Sus scrofa: one gene and its partner. Each later gene encodes a partner of the first gene's protein in a complex. Links are inferred from orthologs where the notes say so. Each region holds a gene or a part of one and is shown on either strand. Other genes may lie near its edges. The genes, in order: AP3D1 and AP3M1.

The links.
Region 2: the proteins of AP3D1 (region 1) and AP3M1 are in contact, whole or in part, in a cryo-EM structure (PDB 9C5C), measured with the Homo sapiens proteins. The link is inferred for Sus scrofa from reciprocal best matches to the Homo sapiens genes AP3D1 and AP3M1. Residues at the interface, in NP_003929.4 of Homo sapiens: Lys29, Glu388, Gly389, Thr390, Thr391, Arg393, Glu429, Arg432; in NP_001307192.1 of Homo sapiens: Ser25, Ser27, Asp30, Tyr31, Glu34, Pro52, Asp104.

Annotation. Positions count from the first base shown.
Region 1 is NC_010444.4:76,457,150-76,465,598, reverse strand, and holds part of AP3D1 (AP-3 complex subunit delta-1), read right to left. Parts: intron 7,830-8,449; coding exon 7,684-7,829; intron 7,300-7,683; coding exon 7,158-7,299; intron 6,686-7,157; coding exon 6,614-6,685; intron 5,694-6,613; coding exon 5,618-5,693; intron 5,406-5,617; coding exon 5,206-5,405; intron 4,918-5,205; coding exon 4,844-4,917; intron 4,735-4,843; coding exon 4,554-4,734; intron 4,388-4,553; coding exon 4,310-4,387; intron 3,740-4,309; coding exon 3,632-3,739; intron 2,825-3,631; coding exon 2,678-2,824; intron 2,463-2,677; coding exon 2,415-2,462; intron 2,154-2,414; coding exon 1,964-2,153; intron 1,828-1,963; coding exon 1,739-1,827; intron 1,645-1,738; coding exon 1,559-1,644; intron 1,083-1,558; coding exon 961-1,082; intron 858-960; coding exon 778-857; intron 1-777. UniProt on the Homo sapiens protein: Part of the AP-3 complex, an adaptor-related complex which is not clathrin-associated. The complex is associated with the Golgi region as well as more peripheral structures.
Region 2 is NC_010456.5:76,823,603-76,832,051, reverse strand, and holds part of AP3M1 (AP-3 complex subunit mu-1), read left to right. Parts: intron 1-4,535; 5' UTR 4,536-4,538; coding exon 4,539-4,811; intron 4,812-5,999; coding exon 6,000-6,171; intron 6,172-8,449. UniProt on the Homo sapiens protein: Part of the AP-3 complex, an adaptor-related complex which is not clathrin-associated. The complex is associated with the Golgi region as well as more peripheral structures.

The DNA of each region.
Region 1 (8,449 bases):
CCAAGAAAAATGGGAGAAGACACAAATTACCAACATCAGCAATGAGGGAAGGTTTTCACTGATCCCTCAGAGACTAAAAGGACAAGAACACTCAACCCATGATCAACTCTGTAACTAGGATGAAATGGACCACATCTTGAAAACCACAAACTACCACGACTCATACAAGAAAAAACAGATAAATTAAGAATTCCTACAATTTTGGAGTTCCCGTCATGGCTCAGTGGTTAATGAATCTGACTAGGAACCATGAGGTTGCGGGTTCGATCCCTGGCCTTGCTCAGTGGGTTAAGGATCTGGCGTTGCCGTGAGCTGTGGTATAAGTTGCAGACGCAGCTTGGATCCTGCATTGCTGTGGCTCTGGTATAGGTTGGTGGCTGCAGCTCCAATTCGACCCCTAGCCTGGGAACCTCCATATGCGGCAGGAGTGGCCCAAGAAGTGGCAAAAAGACAAAAGGACAAAAGAAAAAAAAAAAAAGAATTCCTGCAATTTTAAGAAGTTGAAGTTGTAGATAAAAACCTTTCAAAAAAGAAGGCCCCTGACCTGATTTCCTTGGTGAATTCTACATAACATGCAAGAAGATGTACACTGACTACACGCCACCTCTTCTACAAAAGGCTAGAGGAAGGAATGCCTCCCCACTTAGTTGGTGAGGTCCCAGTGCCAAGGCCAGAGGAGCGCAGGATAGGCCAACATCCTCCTGAACAGGGCTCAAAGCTGCAAAGGCACAGTGCTGAGGAGTGGAAAGGCTGGGTGGGACCTTCCTGAGGGCTCACCTTCTTCACCAGGAGGCAGACGTGGTGTCCCTGGATGGAGCGGCTGTACATGGAGGCGCAGGAATCCACTCGTTCCACAACTACAACAGAGGGCAAGGGGTGAGGCTGGGCCAGCCCTGGGGTGGGGAGGAGTCACATGTGTAGAAAAGCAGAGCCATCTATCAGCCATGTCCAATCCCTTACCGGAAAAACGGTGATGAAAACAGATCTTTGCCAGAAGGTTCTGGAAGGACATACTAATGCCATCAACCTTGATTGAGCTCATGCTCAGGTCCCCAGACTCCAACAACTTGGCAAAGGCATCACTGTGGGAAAGGGACGGAACGGGACAGTAAAAACAGGGGGCCTTGGTGTGTGCCTGTGGCTTAGGGTCTCCAAGGGTGCTGTGAGAAATCAAGAGCTGGACTATGTCCCCGAAACTCCTATGTTGAAGCCCAGACCCCCAGGACGTCAGAATGCAACTGCATTTGAGACTGGGGTCCCTGTGAGAACAAGACACGTGACCGTCTGCACTCCAAACAGGATGGCCTCAGGATGACCCACTTCTGCCATCACTGGTCTCAGCCTGCAGCACTGGGAGGAAACCAATACCTGTGCTTGGACCACAGGACCTGCGCTCAGTGTTATGCAGCTGAGCTGGCCGGCACAGCAGATATGCTGGGCTTTTTGTGCTCACCATAAACCGGTCACCCGACAGTCCGTGCACTCTCACACCTTAAATCAGAGAGCATGGCTGAGGTGATTGCACCCAGAGCCTGGCACAGCATGGAAGGGGGCATACCTGTAGCAAGGTGTGGTGACCAAGTAGGAGGTGCAGGTGAAGTGCAGCTTGAAGTCGAGCTTCTCATGGGTGGAGCCTTCGTCATTCTGTTGGAGTAGGGATGCAGGGTGAGTGTGGGCATGGCTCCAGAGTAGGGGTTCTCTCAGCTGGCGGCCCCACTGCTGCCTTGCTTCCCCGTACCTTGGCAATGAAGGATAGTGTCCCCTTGAGCTTCTGCGCCATGACGATGCTCTGAATGGTGAACACAAACTGGGCTTCGTTGGAGATGCCTAGTGAGGGTGAGAGGGGCCTGAAAAGCAGCGCAGGGTGCAGCCTGGGAGCGTGTGTGTGGCTATCCCAGCAGGTGGCAGGTACCCCACAACCCAGGGTCTGCCCTCAGTGATGGCCAGTCCTGGGGCCACTCACCAGGGGGCAGCTGGAAAGGCACAGGGACACCATCATGGACTGAGGAGCCCTCTGGCCGGGCCAGCCGGGCGTTGAGTGAGTCCAGCACGTTGAGTTCCATACTCTTGAGGAAGCTGCTGCTCTGGTTCTCCAGGACCACGGACACGGTGACCTGGCTGTCCTTCTGCAGGCTGCCCTGCACATCGTATGTCTGCACAGAGCAAGGCAAGGTCAGCAGTGCAGGGAGCCCACCAGGGGCCCCTCTGGGCCTGGATGAAGGCCCAAAAGTGTGAGCACAAGTATGCAAAGGAAGGAACGTTCTGGACCCTCACTCAAGGACACTGAGTTTCAGATATGTACACAGATTTTAGCTATTCCCGATGCACGGCTCTGCCTCCACACACCCTCACAGAGAAAGGACCCCCCCGAGCCTTCCGTGGACCATGCTCTCTGAAACACACTTCTCACTCACCATTTTGATGTACGAATTTTCAGCCAAGAGGCAGTAGCTAGACATGGGCTGGGAATAAGAGAAAAACGTGTCAGCTTTGGGTGCCAAGAACCTGAGCGTGATGTCTGCTGAGGGTGGGGCCAGGTGTAAGCTTCCAGGTGCTCCCGCAGGAAATGCTAGGCCCAATGGAGCGGGTCCTGGACAGCATGAGCCCACACCTTGGGGCTCCTGACACTGTCAGGGCTGTCTGGGGAGGACCAGGCAGGCGCCAGTGGCACCCTCACCGGGAGGGGCTCCTCATCTAGTGCGCCGTTCTCCACGGGCTCAGCCACTCCTTCCCTTGGAGGTGTCTTCTTTTTGGATTTCTTCTTGTCTTTGGGCCTCTCCTCCTTGTCCTTCTTGTGTTTCTTCTTCTTCTCCTTGGAAGTTTTCTAAACAGAAATAGTTCAGGTCAATCCCACACTCACGTGGGTACCACAGTGGTGATCGAATCTCATATTGTGGGGACCAAGCATGCTAAGGTAAAGGGCCCACACATCAGGGTGAGCAGGCCAGCAATCCCCAGGGCTGCAGGGAAGGGCCACCACGAGGACCCGGGAACTCACTGCTGGGCTGGATAGTCGTTGCTGCTGGGTAAAATGCATGAGGAAAACCAGGGAGAGTGCAGACGTGATGGCCCAGCAACCACAGAACTCCTCAGTGTCTCCCCCACCACCCCCGCCCCACACACACTCAGACACTCACATCAGCATGACTCACAGCAGCCAAAAGCTGGGCACCACCCAGTGTCCACCAAAAGGTGACAAACACCGTGCAGTCCCTCCACACATGGAGCATCACTCAGCCATGAAAAGGAAAGAAGCCCCGATACTTGCTACCACATGGACGGACCCAGAGACCACGATGCTCAGTCAGAGCAGCAGACACAGAAGGACACACAGTGTGGGATTCCATAGATGGGAAACATCCAGAACAGGCACATCCACAGAGACAAAGGGGGGGTTAGTGGTTGTCAGAAAAGAGGAATGGGGGTAGGGCTGATGACAGAAATGGATTCCCTTTAGCAGTGATGGGACGTTCTGGAATTAGAGGCGGTGGCAGCAGAACCATGAATAGTTCACTGTGGACGAGTTACAGCTCAATAGTGCTGTTGTGGGTCAGAGCCCCATAGCCACGGCAATGAGAAACCACTGGTGGGATGTGGGCAGCAGTAAGCACCTCTTGCCTGGCTCTCGTACCTTTTCAGGCTCCTGGTGCTCGTCCTCGTCAGCATCCTGCACCTCTTCCCTGGGCTCCTCAAGCCCCTCCTCAGGGGCAGTGGCTGCAGCATTCACCCTGGGCTCTTCCTGTAGGAAGCCAAGTGAGAGGCTCAAAAGGCAGCTCCCTCTGCCCTGACCCACCCGCCTTCCAGGGACACCCGGCCATGAGGAGCCTCCCTTGGCAGGCTAGGTGTGTTGTAAGGACGCAGGTGTGGGGCCTTGATCTGAGCCAGTGGCCAGCTGAGGGGAGAGGACGCCTGGCTTGAGGCTCGCTGGCACTGGCCAGCAACCCTGCATGAGACCCCAGAGGCACCAGGCTCCAGCCGGCAACATAATGCAGCTGTTCAGAGCTGCTGCCTGGCTCTGGGGGTCCGGGCTCTACACCGAGCAGTGTCACACAGCCACTGTCAGGGTAAGACGCCGGGAACAGGACCGAGCTGGCCCAAAGTTGTCTGTGTGCCTTAGGGTCCCCACGTATCCCTTTGTAGCCGGGGTGCAAGAGGCCAGAAGGGCTGTGGGTGATGAAGGGGAAGGGCCAGGCAGGGCACCAAGGGAGCAGGGAGCACCCCAATGTTTCTAAGAGGCAGCCTCCAAGGCCGAAGAGCACACGTGTCTGGCCAAGGAGCACCTTGGTACAGGTCGCCATCAGGCTCTTACCGGGGCTGGGGCTGCAACAGGTGGAGTGGTGGACAACCAGAAGTCCAAGTCCTCACCCTGAAACCAAAGGAAGGTGGCCTTTGGCCAGAGCACAGGACAACCCGGTCAGGCCTGGAGGAACTGTGCCGCCTTGAGCCAAGCAACATGACCTACATTTGATGCTTCTATGAAAGCACCCGACCCCACGGCCCACTGATGGGAGGGAGCTGGGTCCTTGGGACTGCCCATTGCACCAGGGCCTCACCTTCTCTGCTTCCTTTCTCTTCTTCTTCTTCTCTCGCTCCTTCTCCTTGTGCTTCTTCTCCTTCTTTTTGGGTTTCTTGCTCTTTTTTTCTATGACGGGGATGTCCTCTTTCTCAGGGGACTTGGGGGTCTCAGCATTTCTGTGTTTCTGCACAGGCAGCTTCTCGCTGTCAGCTAGGGGCCTGGATGGTCACAGGAGACTTGGCCTGGGATGAGGCTGGGGGAGGGGTACCCTAGCCACCCCTCTGCTCCCATGGGACAAGGAGAGTCTGAGTTATGTCCAGCACTCACTTGTCCAAGTCGATGTCTAGGGCCCTGTAGGGGTCGTTTGGGTCTTTGTCATCCTCGTCGCTGGGCAGGGCGTTCTGAGGGAGGACGGAAATGCTGGGTCAGGTTTGCCTCGCCCTATCCCCCCGACCCTGCCGAGCCTTAAGGGTCTAAGGAAGCACCCCCACACTCTTCTAGGAAAGAGACCACCAGGTCCACACTCGCAAGGGCGTCTGACCTGGGCCTGGCACTCAGGCCGAGACACCTGTCATTAAGCAGAAGCCTGGGGGCCGCCTGCTCAGAGCTCACTGGACAGAGCTGGTTGAGGCCCTCCCCACGACAGGGACAACAGCAACGGGTGGGCCCCCACGGGGAGGGCCACTGACCTCAGGCATCTCCTCAGTGACGATGTCCACGCGCTGGGCAGGTGCGATGTCCTCATCGCTCTCTGTGTGCAATGAGCTATGGCGCCGTGTGCCCCGCCTCTCCCGCTCCCTCCTCTTCTTCTTCCTCTTGTCCTTCTCCAGCCGCTGCTGATGGCGCCGCTCCTCCTCCAGCTTCACGTACTGGTCCGACATGGGCATCCCTGCAAACAATGCATACTCAGTGCTCGGTCCTGGGCCCAGGCCACGGCCACCCTGAGCACCATGCCTAGGGTTGCAAGAGGATGCATGGGCACTGCCCTCTAGCTGCTGGGACATGAACAGAGGTTAGCACGGCACATGGCCTCTCTCTATTGGGATAAGGTGGAGGCCAGGTGCTGAGACAGTGGGAGTGCAGGTCCCTATAGATACTTGCCTGGCACTTTCAAGGGCACTGAGAGGTCAATTTGCACCACAGGAATGTGGTCCACACCCGGTGCATCCTGGTATCGCTGGAGAGGAGATAGCAAGGCACCCGTCACTGGGCAGGGCAGCGGCCCAAAGCAACAGAGTCACAGAGATGGGGGTGGGGAGTTGGCATAAACATAATGTACAGCGTAGAATCCAACACTCAGTAATTTTGTTCATTAGAATCTTTTCCTCCCAAATTAGAAAAGTAGTGCAGGAGTTCCCGTCACGGCGCAGTGGTTAACGAATCCGACTAGGCACCATGAGGTTGCGGGTTCGATCCCTGCCCTTGCTCAGTGGCTTAACGATTCAGCGTTGCCGTGAGCTGTGGTGTAGGTTGCAGACGTGGCTCGGATCCCGCGTTGCTGTGGCTCCGGCGTAGGCTGGCAGCTACAGCTCCGATTCGACCCCTAGCCTGGGAACCTCCATATGCCGCTGGAGCGGCCCAAGAAATGACGAGGAGAGGGAGAGGAGAGGGAGAGGAGAGGGAGTGGAGAGGAGAGGAGAGGAGAGAAGAGAAGAGAAAAGCAAAGTAGTGCAGGCTTGGAACCAGGATAATGTGGTACCTCCTGCCCCCAGGATGGCTGGAATCAGCAGGGCCCACAGGCAGGTTCGGGGGGGACAGGCTGGAGCCCCTCAGAGAAGTGAGCAGAGTCATCCAGTGATCCCAAAATCCCAAAAGCAGGGAAACAGCCCAGCAGCCGCCATGTGGAGCCTGTCTCCCTGGGGCTCTGCTAGGTGGGGTATGGATGAAGACAGAGGCACCAGGCAGGACCCATGTCCTCTGGTGTCCACTCCCTCCCGCTGAGGCACCACATCTGCAGCCCTGCACACCCAGCTGAGAAGCCTAGCCAAAGATCCACTTGTGGGGCTCGGGATCAAGAGCCCCTTCCAGTCCTGTCTGGGGACCTGCCAACAGCCCAGCACACCAGGGGACCATCCCTTAAGGACAGGCATGCCTCACCTTTTGGGGGGACGGGGAGCTCTTGATGTAAAAGGGGTTGTTGGCCTGCTCCTGCTTCCGGGCCTCCCGGCGCTGTGGGGACAGGGTCCAGCATGTACATCAGTGGGTGTGTGAAGCCCTCGTGTCCTCCCAGGCGCAGGCCACCTCCTCGCACCAGACCCAGGATCCCCAGTTCCTTTCACTGTTGGCCTTTGACCCAGAGGAGACCGAGGCCGGCGGTGGGCAGGAGCAGGTATGGAGACGGGTGGAAAGCACAACAACCCAGAGGGTTCAAGACTGGGGTCAGAGAGGCTGGCAGAGCTGCCTGAGGCTACCCACTCAGGGACAGAGCCTGGGGTAGGGGCAGGAGCAGGGAGGAGGCCTGGTGGGGCAGCATCCCTGGGCACCACAGGTCCTGAGTGAGGTCAGGCCCCACAACTCTCCCTGGGGAAGGCCTGGCTTGAGAAACCACCCTCACTTCAACAAAATCCAGTCCCATGTCAAAGGTGGGCTCAGTGCTGGCACAGGACAGCGGGACATAGCCCAGACGTGACTGGGCGCTCACCCGGGCCAGTTCCTGCTCATCTGCCTCAGGCGGCCGCTGCTTCGCATGCCGCTGCTCCTCGTCCTGAAAGATGGCCTTGGGCTTCTCATCCTCAGACTCACTGTCCGAGAGTGGCTCGTTGATCCAGGCATCCAGGTCCAGGCTGCAGGACACAGTGAGGTCACACGGTGGCTCCGGCCTGCACGCCTGGCCCCGGATACTGCCGTCCCCTTGGAGAAAGGACAGGGAGGCTGGGCAGCTGCCCAAGACCAGAGTAGGCCAAGCCAATCAGAGACCCTGCACCCCCTGAGGGTCGCCAGCAGACCTGCTTCCTAGGGATGACACCAGAGATGGGGACAACAGGTTCCAGGGGAGCTGGCGAGGACCCCACACGGCCTGTGTCCTGCCCACAGGGGCTCAGGCCTCTGGGGCCGTCCTCAACCCTCCCGCTCCTCTCCTGGCTGGAGAGCAGGTCCAGGGTGTAGTTCTGGTTCCATTGGCCCTCTTGCTGCCCGCTCTGTGTCCCCTGACGGGCCACATGGCTCACCCTTCAGGGACCGGGACCTTCTTCTGTGCCTTCGGAGCCACTGGGTTCAGCTCCCCAGCAAAGAGAGCACTCACTTCTTCTGCCACCGGCATGTCCTTGGCCTGAAGCTTCTGCACGTGCTTGACCAGCTGCAAGATGCAGGATGCCTGTGGGGGCCACGGAGAGAAGACAGGAGTCAGGGAGGCCTGACTCAGCTGCCATGGGGCATCACTCAGACCACACAGACGCCCAGCTGTTGCTGGAGCCCCACCAAGGTCCTGAAGTCTCTGTGAGAAGCCACTGGCCATGGGGCCCCACCAGGAGAGGCCAGCTTGGCTACTGTCTTCTTTAGGAGGCATAAAACAAGCAAGCCGAGGGTCCAGGGGTGGAGAAAGGTCTGCCACACACGGCCATCAGCCTGAAGACTCGCCTCCAGGAGGTACCAAGATGCACTTGACCCAGGGGCTCTCGGTAACTGAGAAGCCTGTGTCACCAGGGTGCGAGGAGGAGACTACCAGGTCGCTGATGACCACGTCACCACCTAAAGTTCTCTACAGACCAGCTTCTTCTACCCACCTGGCCACCAGCCACCAGAAATCCATTGTTGCCTCTGACACTTCCCTCTGGGGCCAATGGACCACCGACTCTAGCCGACCACATACTCTGACGTCATCTCTCACCATCTCCTGCCACCCCAGCTCTCACTAGAGTCCCCCTGTGGGTGACCGTCCAGGACTCCCACAGGGTGGTCCCACAACTGCGCATCGCCTGGCCAAGGTGGAGTTGT
Region 2 (8,449 bases), on another chromosome or scaffold:
GCTGGAGTTCCTTCCCGTCGTGGCTCAGTGGTTAACAAATCCAACTAGGAACCATGAGGTTTCGGGTTCGATCCCTGACCTTGCTCAGTGGGTTAAGGATCCGGCGTTGCTGTGAGCTGTGGTGTAGGCCACAGATGCAGCTCAGATCCCAAGTTGCTGTGGCTCTGGTGTAGGCTGGCAGCTACAGCTCCAATTCGACCCCTAGCCTGGGAACCTCCATATGCCGCAGGGGGGAAAAAAAATGACAAAAAAAAAAAAAAAATCGGAGGACCTGGAGTTATCTTGTGGCCTAGCAGATTTAATGGATCTGGCCTTGTCACTGCTGTGGCTCAAGTCACCACTGTGCAAGGGTTTGAGCCCTCGCCTGGGAACTTCCCCATTGCCACAGACATAGCCAAAAATAAGTAAATCAGAGGAACTAGATTATTTTCTAGTCTCATTCTCTCACCTTAGAAATATAGCCCTTCTATGCCTCCATTCTGTTATATATAGAAGGAATACATTTTCTTTTTTTAGACACTGTCTCCTAAGGATATTTTGACTGCTGTAATTGCATTGCTTGTAAATCATCAGGTTAAGTGTGTTCAGCATTTGATACAGAGGTTTTATGAAGTGTTTAAGCTGCAGTCAAAGCTCTAATGGAACTGCCTTTAAACAGTTTCTTAAGTGGTTTTAAAATAAGCTGGGAGAATTCTATTTTCTACCTCAAATGTCTTCTAGGACAAAAAGATGGTTGTGGTGTTGGTATATGTGTAGCTTTCTCAGAAAGTTTATTAAAATAATGAAAGAAATAACTGCAGCTACTCAAAGGTAAGTAGCCAAAGAAACAGGCTAATTTACACTGCTGCAAGTGGTACTTGCTTTTTGCATTACACCTTTGGTCATCATATGGATAGAAGACATAAGCTCTCTTTTCCTATTTTATTGTATTATTATAACTATTTTGTATGTGTGTCTTTTTCTAGGGCCGTACCCACGGCATATGGAGGTTCCCAGGCTAAGAGTCCAATCAGAGCTGTAGCCACCAGCCTGTGCTGCAGCCACAGCAACGAAGGATCTGAGCCATGTCTGTGACCTACACCACAGCTCACAGCAACACCGGATCCTTAACACCCACTGAGTGAGGCCAGGGATCAAACCCACAACCTCATGGTTCCTAGTGGGATTCGTTAGCCACTGAGCCACGATGGGAACTCCTCTTTTCCTATTTTAAAGGGAGGCACTGTTGATAACTATCAGTGCTCTGCTTTTATCTCAGCACTAGGGACAACATCAGTAAATCTAGATGGTGAGTTTAATTTACTCTATATAACTGAGACCTGAACTACTACCAGTGAAAACAACTTTGGTGGAAACTTTTCCTAGAAAGAATTTTTCACTAGCTTAAGAGGTTGAGGAGTTCACGTCGTGGTGCAGTGGTTAATGAATCTGACTAGGAACCATGAGTATGCAGGTTCGATCCCTGGCCTTGCTCAGTGGGTTAAGGATCCAGCGTTGCCATGAGCTGTGGTGTAGGTCACAGACACGGCTCAGATCCCACATTGCTGTGGCTGTGGCGTAGACTGGCAGCTGCAGCTCCAATTAAACCCCTAGCCTGGGAACTTCCATATGCTGCGGGAGCGGCCCTAGGGGAAAAAAAAAAAAAAGGCAAAAAGACAAAAAAAAAAGAGATTGAGTAGGAATCTGGCCTCTCCAATAAGAAACTGAAGTCACTCACTTTGAGAATAGGCAGCTCTCTTAGAGTGTATTGTGGCAGTGAGTACCATGGATCCGTGCAGGCTATACTTTCTTTAGGATAAATAGTTTAAGAAGATAACCTATGTCAGCTCTCTTAAGTACAGATTTCTGCTCTAAATAATTTAGAACACATTTTCACTTCTACTTAAATAAGCATATTCTTTAACCCCTCTTAAATTATAATTCGCATTTGCTGCCCAGTCTAATAATGACGACCACTAGCTCTGTGTCGTTATTTAATTTTAGCCGCATTTCAAGTGCTCATGTCTGATTAGTAGCTGCTGTATTGAACAGCACAGATAAAGGATATGTCCATCATTGCAGGAAATCCGACTGGACACTGCTGCATTAGTGTTTCCTAATAGTTTCTAAGAGACAGGTAAGAACAAGAGCTCAAGATTCAGCTGGATCTAAGTTTAAATCCTAGTTCTGATACTTCCTGTATGATCTGAGAGAAGTAACATAACATTTCCAAGACGTTATTGTCTTTTCTGTAAAATGGGGATAAGAGCAGTACTTGTGGCATTGAGTCGTGAGGATTAAATAAAATAATGTAAGTAAAGCGCCTAGGATATGTCTGGCTCCACAATAAGTATGCAATCTTAGGTATTATTAATTTGTTTATCTTTAATAAATAAAACATTTTGAATAAAGCTGAAAGTTAATTATCACAAAGGATGCCATATTCTATAGCTGTCTCATCTGAAATGCTCAAATCTGGGTCTCATTGAGTTGATGACAAAGTTCCACTTTAAGCCATACTTTATATTTGAGATGAAAATTTTATTCCAAGAAAAAGCATCATAATGCAAGTTCAGTTGCAGATCTTATTGCTGGATACTCCTGTTCTGTTTTTTAGACATGTATCAGAAATTCCTGCTGTGGCACAGCAAGATCAGCACATCTCTGGAGCCCTAGGATGCAGGTTTGATCCCTAGCCCAGGTCAGTGGGTTAAGGATCTGGCATTAATGTAGTTGCAGCATAGGCCACAACTGCAGCTTAGATCTGATCCCTGGCCCCTTGGCATATGGAACTCCATATGCCAAGGGGCAGCCAAAAAGGGGGAAAAAAAATTTAATAAATAAAAATAGTGTATCAGAGAGCAGAGGTGATAATTAAAAGTCAGTCGGTTCTGGGAGTTCCTGCTGTGGCGCAGTGGGTTAAGGATTTGATCCCTGCCCAATACAACACAGTACCTTACATCAAGTTTTGAAATCAGGAAGTGCTAGTCTTCCAGTTTTGTTCTTCTTTTTCAAGATCAATTCGGTTGTTCTTGGTCTCTTTAATCTCCATAAAAATTTCAGGGTCAGCCTTTCAGTTTCCATTTTGAAAAGGCATCTGATATTCTAATAGAGATTGCAGTAAATCTGTAGGTCAATTTGGGGAGTATAGTCATCTTAGCATATTAAGTCTTCCAATCTATAAACATGAAATGTCTTTCCATTTTTTTTAGTTCTTTTTAATGTCTTTCAGTGATCTGTAGAATTCCATATACAGGTCTTAGATTTCTGTTAATTTAATCCTAAGTATTTTGATCTTCTTTTGGATGCTTTTGTAAGTAGAATTGTTTTCTCAGTTTCAGTATCAGAGTAGTTATTGCTAATATGTAGAAATATAATTGGTTTTTTATATTAGTCTTATATCAAGCAATCTTGATGAATGCACTTATTGCTCTCAGTAGTTTTTGTGTGGGAATTCCCATCATGGCTCAGTGGGTTATGAACCTGACTAGTATCCATGAGGACGTGCGTTCAATCCCTGGCCTTGCTCAGTGGGTCAAGGATCCGGCATTGCTGTGCGCTGTGCTGTAGGTCACAGATGTGGCTCAGATCCCATGTTGCTATAGCTATGGTGTAGGCTGGCAACTACAGCCCCAATTCAACCCCTAGCCTGGGAACTTCCATATGATGCAGGTGCAGACCTTAAGGAAAAAAAATGGTTTGTGTGTGTAAGTGTATTCCTTAGAATTTTCTGTATACAAGATAACATCATCTGCAAATAGAGATAGTTTTGCTTCTTGTCCAATTTGGAAGCCTTCTGTTTCATTTTCTTGCTTAATTATCCTGTCTAGACCCTACCATGTTCAGCATTTTCAAAGTGCTGAAAATGGACATTATTGTTTGTTCTTGATATTAAGGGGAAAGCTTTTGGTTGTTTCACAGAGGTTCTTTATCAGGTTGAGGAAATTTATCTTCCTAGTTTAAATGTTTTTGTCCTATAAAATTTATCAAATGATTTTTCTTGCACCTTTTTAAATAATTATATTTTTGTCTTTTATGAATACTGTGTATTATGTTGATTGAACTAACCTTGCATTCTTAAATAAATCATGTTACTTGATTGAGTTTGCTAGTATTTTGCTGAGGATTTTTGCGTTTATATTTTTAAGTGATATTTGTTTGTAGTTTCTTGTATTGCTTTTGTGTGTTTTTGTTTGTTTTTTCGAAACATTCTTTTATTTTATTTTTTTGTCTTTTTGCCTTTTCTAGGGCTGCTCTCATGGCATATGGAGGTTCCCAGGCCAGGGGTCGAATCGGAGCTGTAGCCACCGGCCTACACTACAGCCACAGCAACGCAGGATCTGAGCTGCGTCTGCAACCCACACCACAGCTCACCGCAACGCCAGATCCTTAACCCACTGAGCGAGGCCAGGGATCGAACCCACAACCTCATGGTTCCTATTCGGATCCGCCAACCACTGTGCCACGACGGGAACTTCTGTGTGGTTTTGCTATCAGGTTAATATAAGGATACTTTTTTTGATGTATACTAAATTTAAACTTTTTTTCCCTCCCAGAAAATGATCCACAGTCTATTTCTCATAAACTGTTCCGGTGACATATTTCTGGAGAAGCACTGGAAGAGCGTTGTGAGCCAGTCTGTCTGTGATTATTTCTTTGAAGCTCAAGAGAAAGCTGCTGATGTTGAAAATGTACCTCCTGTTATTTCAACACCTCACCACTACCTCATCAGTATATACCGGGATAAGCTCTTCTTTGTCTCTGTCATACAGACTGAAGTGCCACCTCTCTTTGTAATTGAGTTCCTACATCGAGTTGCTGACACTTTTCAGGTTGGTTATTCATCAAATCTTTTGAATTTAAATTATCCAAGTTTGATGAAGGTGGAACACGGTTATATTCTTTAATTACCCAGCTTTTGATGTGTAATCTCTCTGTCTCTCCCTGTTCTTTTCACCTAAGCTTAAGCTCATAAACATAAACCTTTTTTATAGGGTATACAGTAGTATACATAGCTTCTCAGTTAAAATTTTAGGAGAACAGAACAATCTCATAGTCATGGAAACTGTATTTTTTTAATGTATTATGGATTATGCCATCAGGAAATAATAGTGCCCTCCACGTACAGTTCTCTGAATGGTCCCAAGAATTTTTTTGGTTATGAAACCTTCCATTGCTTAACATTATTTTTTTTTCTTGGCCTCCTGAATATACCAATAATTGAAAACTTATCGGAGTTCCCGTCGTGGTGCAGTGGTTAACGAATCCGACTAGGAACCATGAGGTTGCGGGTTCGATCCCTGCCCTTGCTCAGTGGGTTAACGATCCGGCGTTGCTGTGAGCTGTGGTGTAGGTTGCAGATGCGGCTCGGACCCCGCGTTGCTGTGGCTGTGGCGTAGGCCAGTGGCTACAGCTCCGATTCAACCCCTAGCCTGGGAACCTCCATATGCCGCGGGAGTGGCCCAAGAAATAGCAACAACAACAACAACAAGACAAAAAAAAAAAAAAAAAAAGAAAACTTATCCATGTTTCTTGGAGTACATGATCAGGACAAATGAAGTTTATAGTTCACATTCTGTTTTAACATTTCAGTGTATTTTCTGACGTAATACTTAGTAGGAATCCAATTCAATCTAAAAACATTAAGGAGGAGTTCTTGCTGTGGTCAACAGGATCAGCGACATCTCTCAAGCACTGGCACACAGGTTCAGTCCCTGGCCCAGCACAGTGGGTTAAGGATCTGGTGTTGCTGCAGCATAGGTGACAACTGAGGCTCAGATCTGATCTCTGGTCCAGGAACTCCTAATGTCGTGGGGCAGCCAAAAACAATAGTAATAATAAGGAAATTTTGAAGAATAGTATATAGAACTCTAGAGGGTTTTTTCACCCTCTGTTTACATATTTTCGACATCTTAAACAATGATTTGTGCTACTTTAAGTTTACCCTTTAGAACACAGAAAGTATTTAGCAAGCCTTTCTTCATGTCTTCTATTGTGCAATATTATGTACCTTTTGTTAGGACTACTTTGGTGAGTGTTCAGAGGCTGCAATTAAGGATAATGTGGTCATAGTATATGAGCTCTTGGAAGAAATGCTAGACAATGGATTTCCACTGGCTACGGAGTCTAACATTTTGAAAGAATTGATTAAACCACCAACAATTCTACGTTCTGTTGTCAACTCTATTACAGGTAAGTGAAATGCACTCTAATAAGAACTGAGCAATTGAAACTTCATAAACATTCATTTTTGTTTATTTGATCTGGCAGATTCTTAAGGTAGTCCGTTTTGGCCGGATTTGAAGTTAGTGATAATGTTAAAATAGATGTATATTTCTTTTCATGAAAAGAGGCTTGATTTTAAATGATAAAGAACTTTTGCTTGTTACTCTTGTATTACAGGTTTTTCTGTAAGACTACAACAATATTATTACTATATTTAACACTAAATAGTAAGAATGACTAAATTATCCACTTAAAGAGAAACCAATATAGTGATGACTGTTAACTAAATTTATCATGGTAATCATTTTGTAATATATACCTATATCAAATCATTATGTTGTATACCTTAAAATAATAGTGTTATATGTCAATTGTATCTCAATAAAACTAGAAAAAAATAGAGTTCCCTGGTGGCTTGGTTGGTTAAGGGTCTAGCATTGTCACTGCTGTGGCTCAGGTTGCTGTTGTACGACTGGTTCAGTCCCTGGCCCAAGAACTTTCATATGCTGCAGGTACAACCAAAAAAAAAAAAAAAATAGAAAAAATAAAACTGTAATCCATGAGGACACACGTTTGATCCCTGGCCTTGCTTATTGGGTTAGGGATCCAGCATTGCCTTGACCTGTGGTGTAGATTACAGATGCAGCTCAGATCTGGTGATTCAGCCCCTAGCCTGGGAACCTCCATATGCCCTGGATGTGGCTCTAAAAAGACAAAAATAAAATTAAATAAAATAATGAAACTGTAGCCAATATGAGGCTACCTAGAAAAGCATTTAATTTATATATAGACTAGCATTTTAATATTTAAAATAGCATTATTTTATAAATATACCAAGTCAGTACATTGTACACCTTAAACTTACTGCAATATTATGTGTCAGCTATATCCCAATAAAGCTGGAGAAAAGATACAACTTTTAAAAATATCATTATAAAACTGGCATTATGCTGGGTACCCACAGCTACTAGAGTATAGACAATTTTAAGACTATACCATAGAGTACATACTATCTCTTCCAAGTCTTTATAAATAAAGAAGATGTATTAAAAAGAGAAAGAAAATTAGCCTATTTGTCTTCCTGCATTATGGGCCTTGAACTTGTGTTACAAACTTCTAATTTTGATTTAATTCTTGAGTATAGCTAGATATTAGGTACATCCAGATGACAATATACTTTTGAAAGTATCAAAGTCTTCTAAACAAAGATTTCTATGAAATGTTATATGCCATTCCAGCTGTGCTACCCACCATTATAAATCCCTTTTCAAGGACTCGGAAAGTCCTTGAAAAGCACTAACATAAAAAAATTGGCTGAGAGAAGCCTATAAGGAAGTGATCATTCATTCCTTTTTTTCATCCTCTATGCAAGACTGGGTGTCAGGAGAAATTTAAGAAAAGATAAGATAGATTGTCTGTGCTCCTAAAACTTGAACTTTGGGTGGGAATCTAGAAAAATTGAAACATACAAATTAACAGTATAAGATTTTGAAAAGCAATTCTTTACTTTATAAGCAATATAGTGACACTGGAGGGTACACATGATATAATATTTAATGAAAAAAAAGCACAAAACCATAAAAAGATACTCTTAATAATACATAAATACACACACAGAAAAGTTCTAAAGTTTATGATATCTCCAGCTAAGGACCTATATATTATCCTTATTTTTGCTTTATACTTTCTGGTTTCTAAAATGAACATGTATTTTTATACTTGGGAGAAAAAAAAGTTACTGAAATACAGAATTAAAAAATAACATGGGAGTTCCCATCCTAGCTCAGCAGTAACAAACCCAACTAGTATCCATGAGGATGCAGATTTGATCCCTGGCCTCTCTCAGTGGGTTAAGGGTCTGGTGTTGATGAGAGCTGTGGTATAGGTCACAGTTGCTGTGGCTGTGCTGTAAGCCAGCAGCTACAGCTCTATATTGACCCCTAGCCTGGGAACTTCCATATGCTGCAGGTGTGGCCATAAAAAGACCAAAAAAATTAATAAAAATAATGTGGATTATTAAGGCAATACATTATAAAGATCAAGAGAATTGTTCATTGGACAAAGTAATCCCTCTGAGCTGTAGTGGGTAGCCCTAGGGCAGGGTCTTTGAGAGTTATTAGAATTTAGGAAAAGAAAGGAGTAAGAGTATTCTTTATAGATGGAAGGAACAGTGTGAGAAAAACACAAGTGAAAAATCTTTTATTAACTCATTTAACAGAGGCAGCGCTGTTTTTCAGTTGAGTAG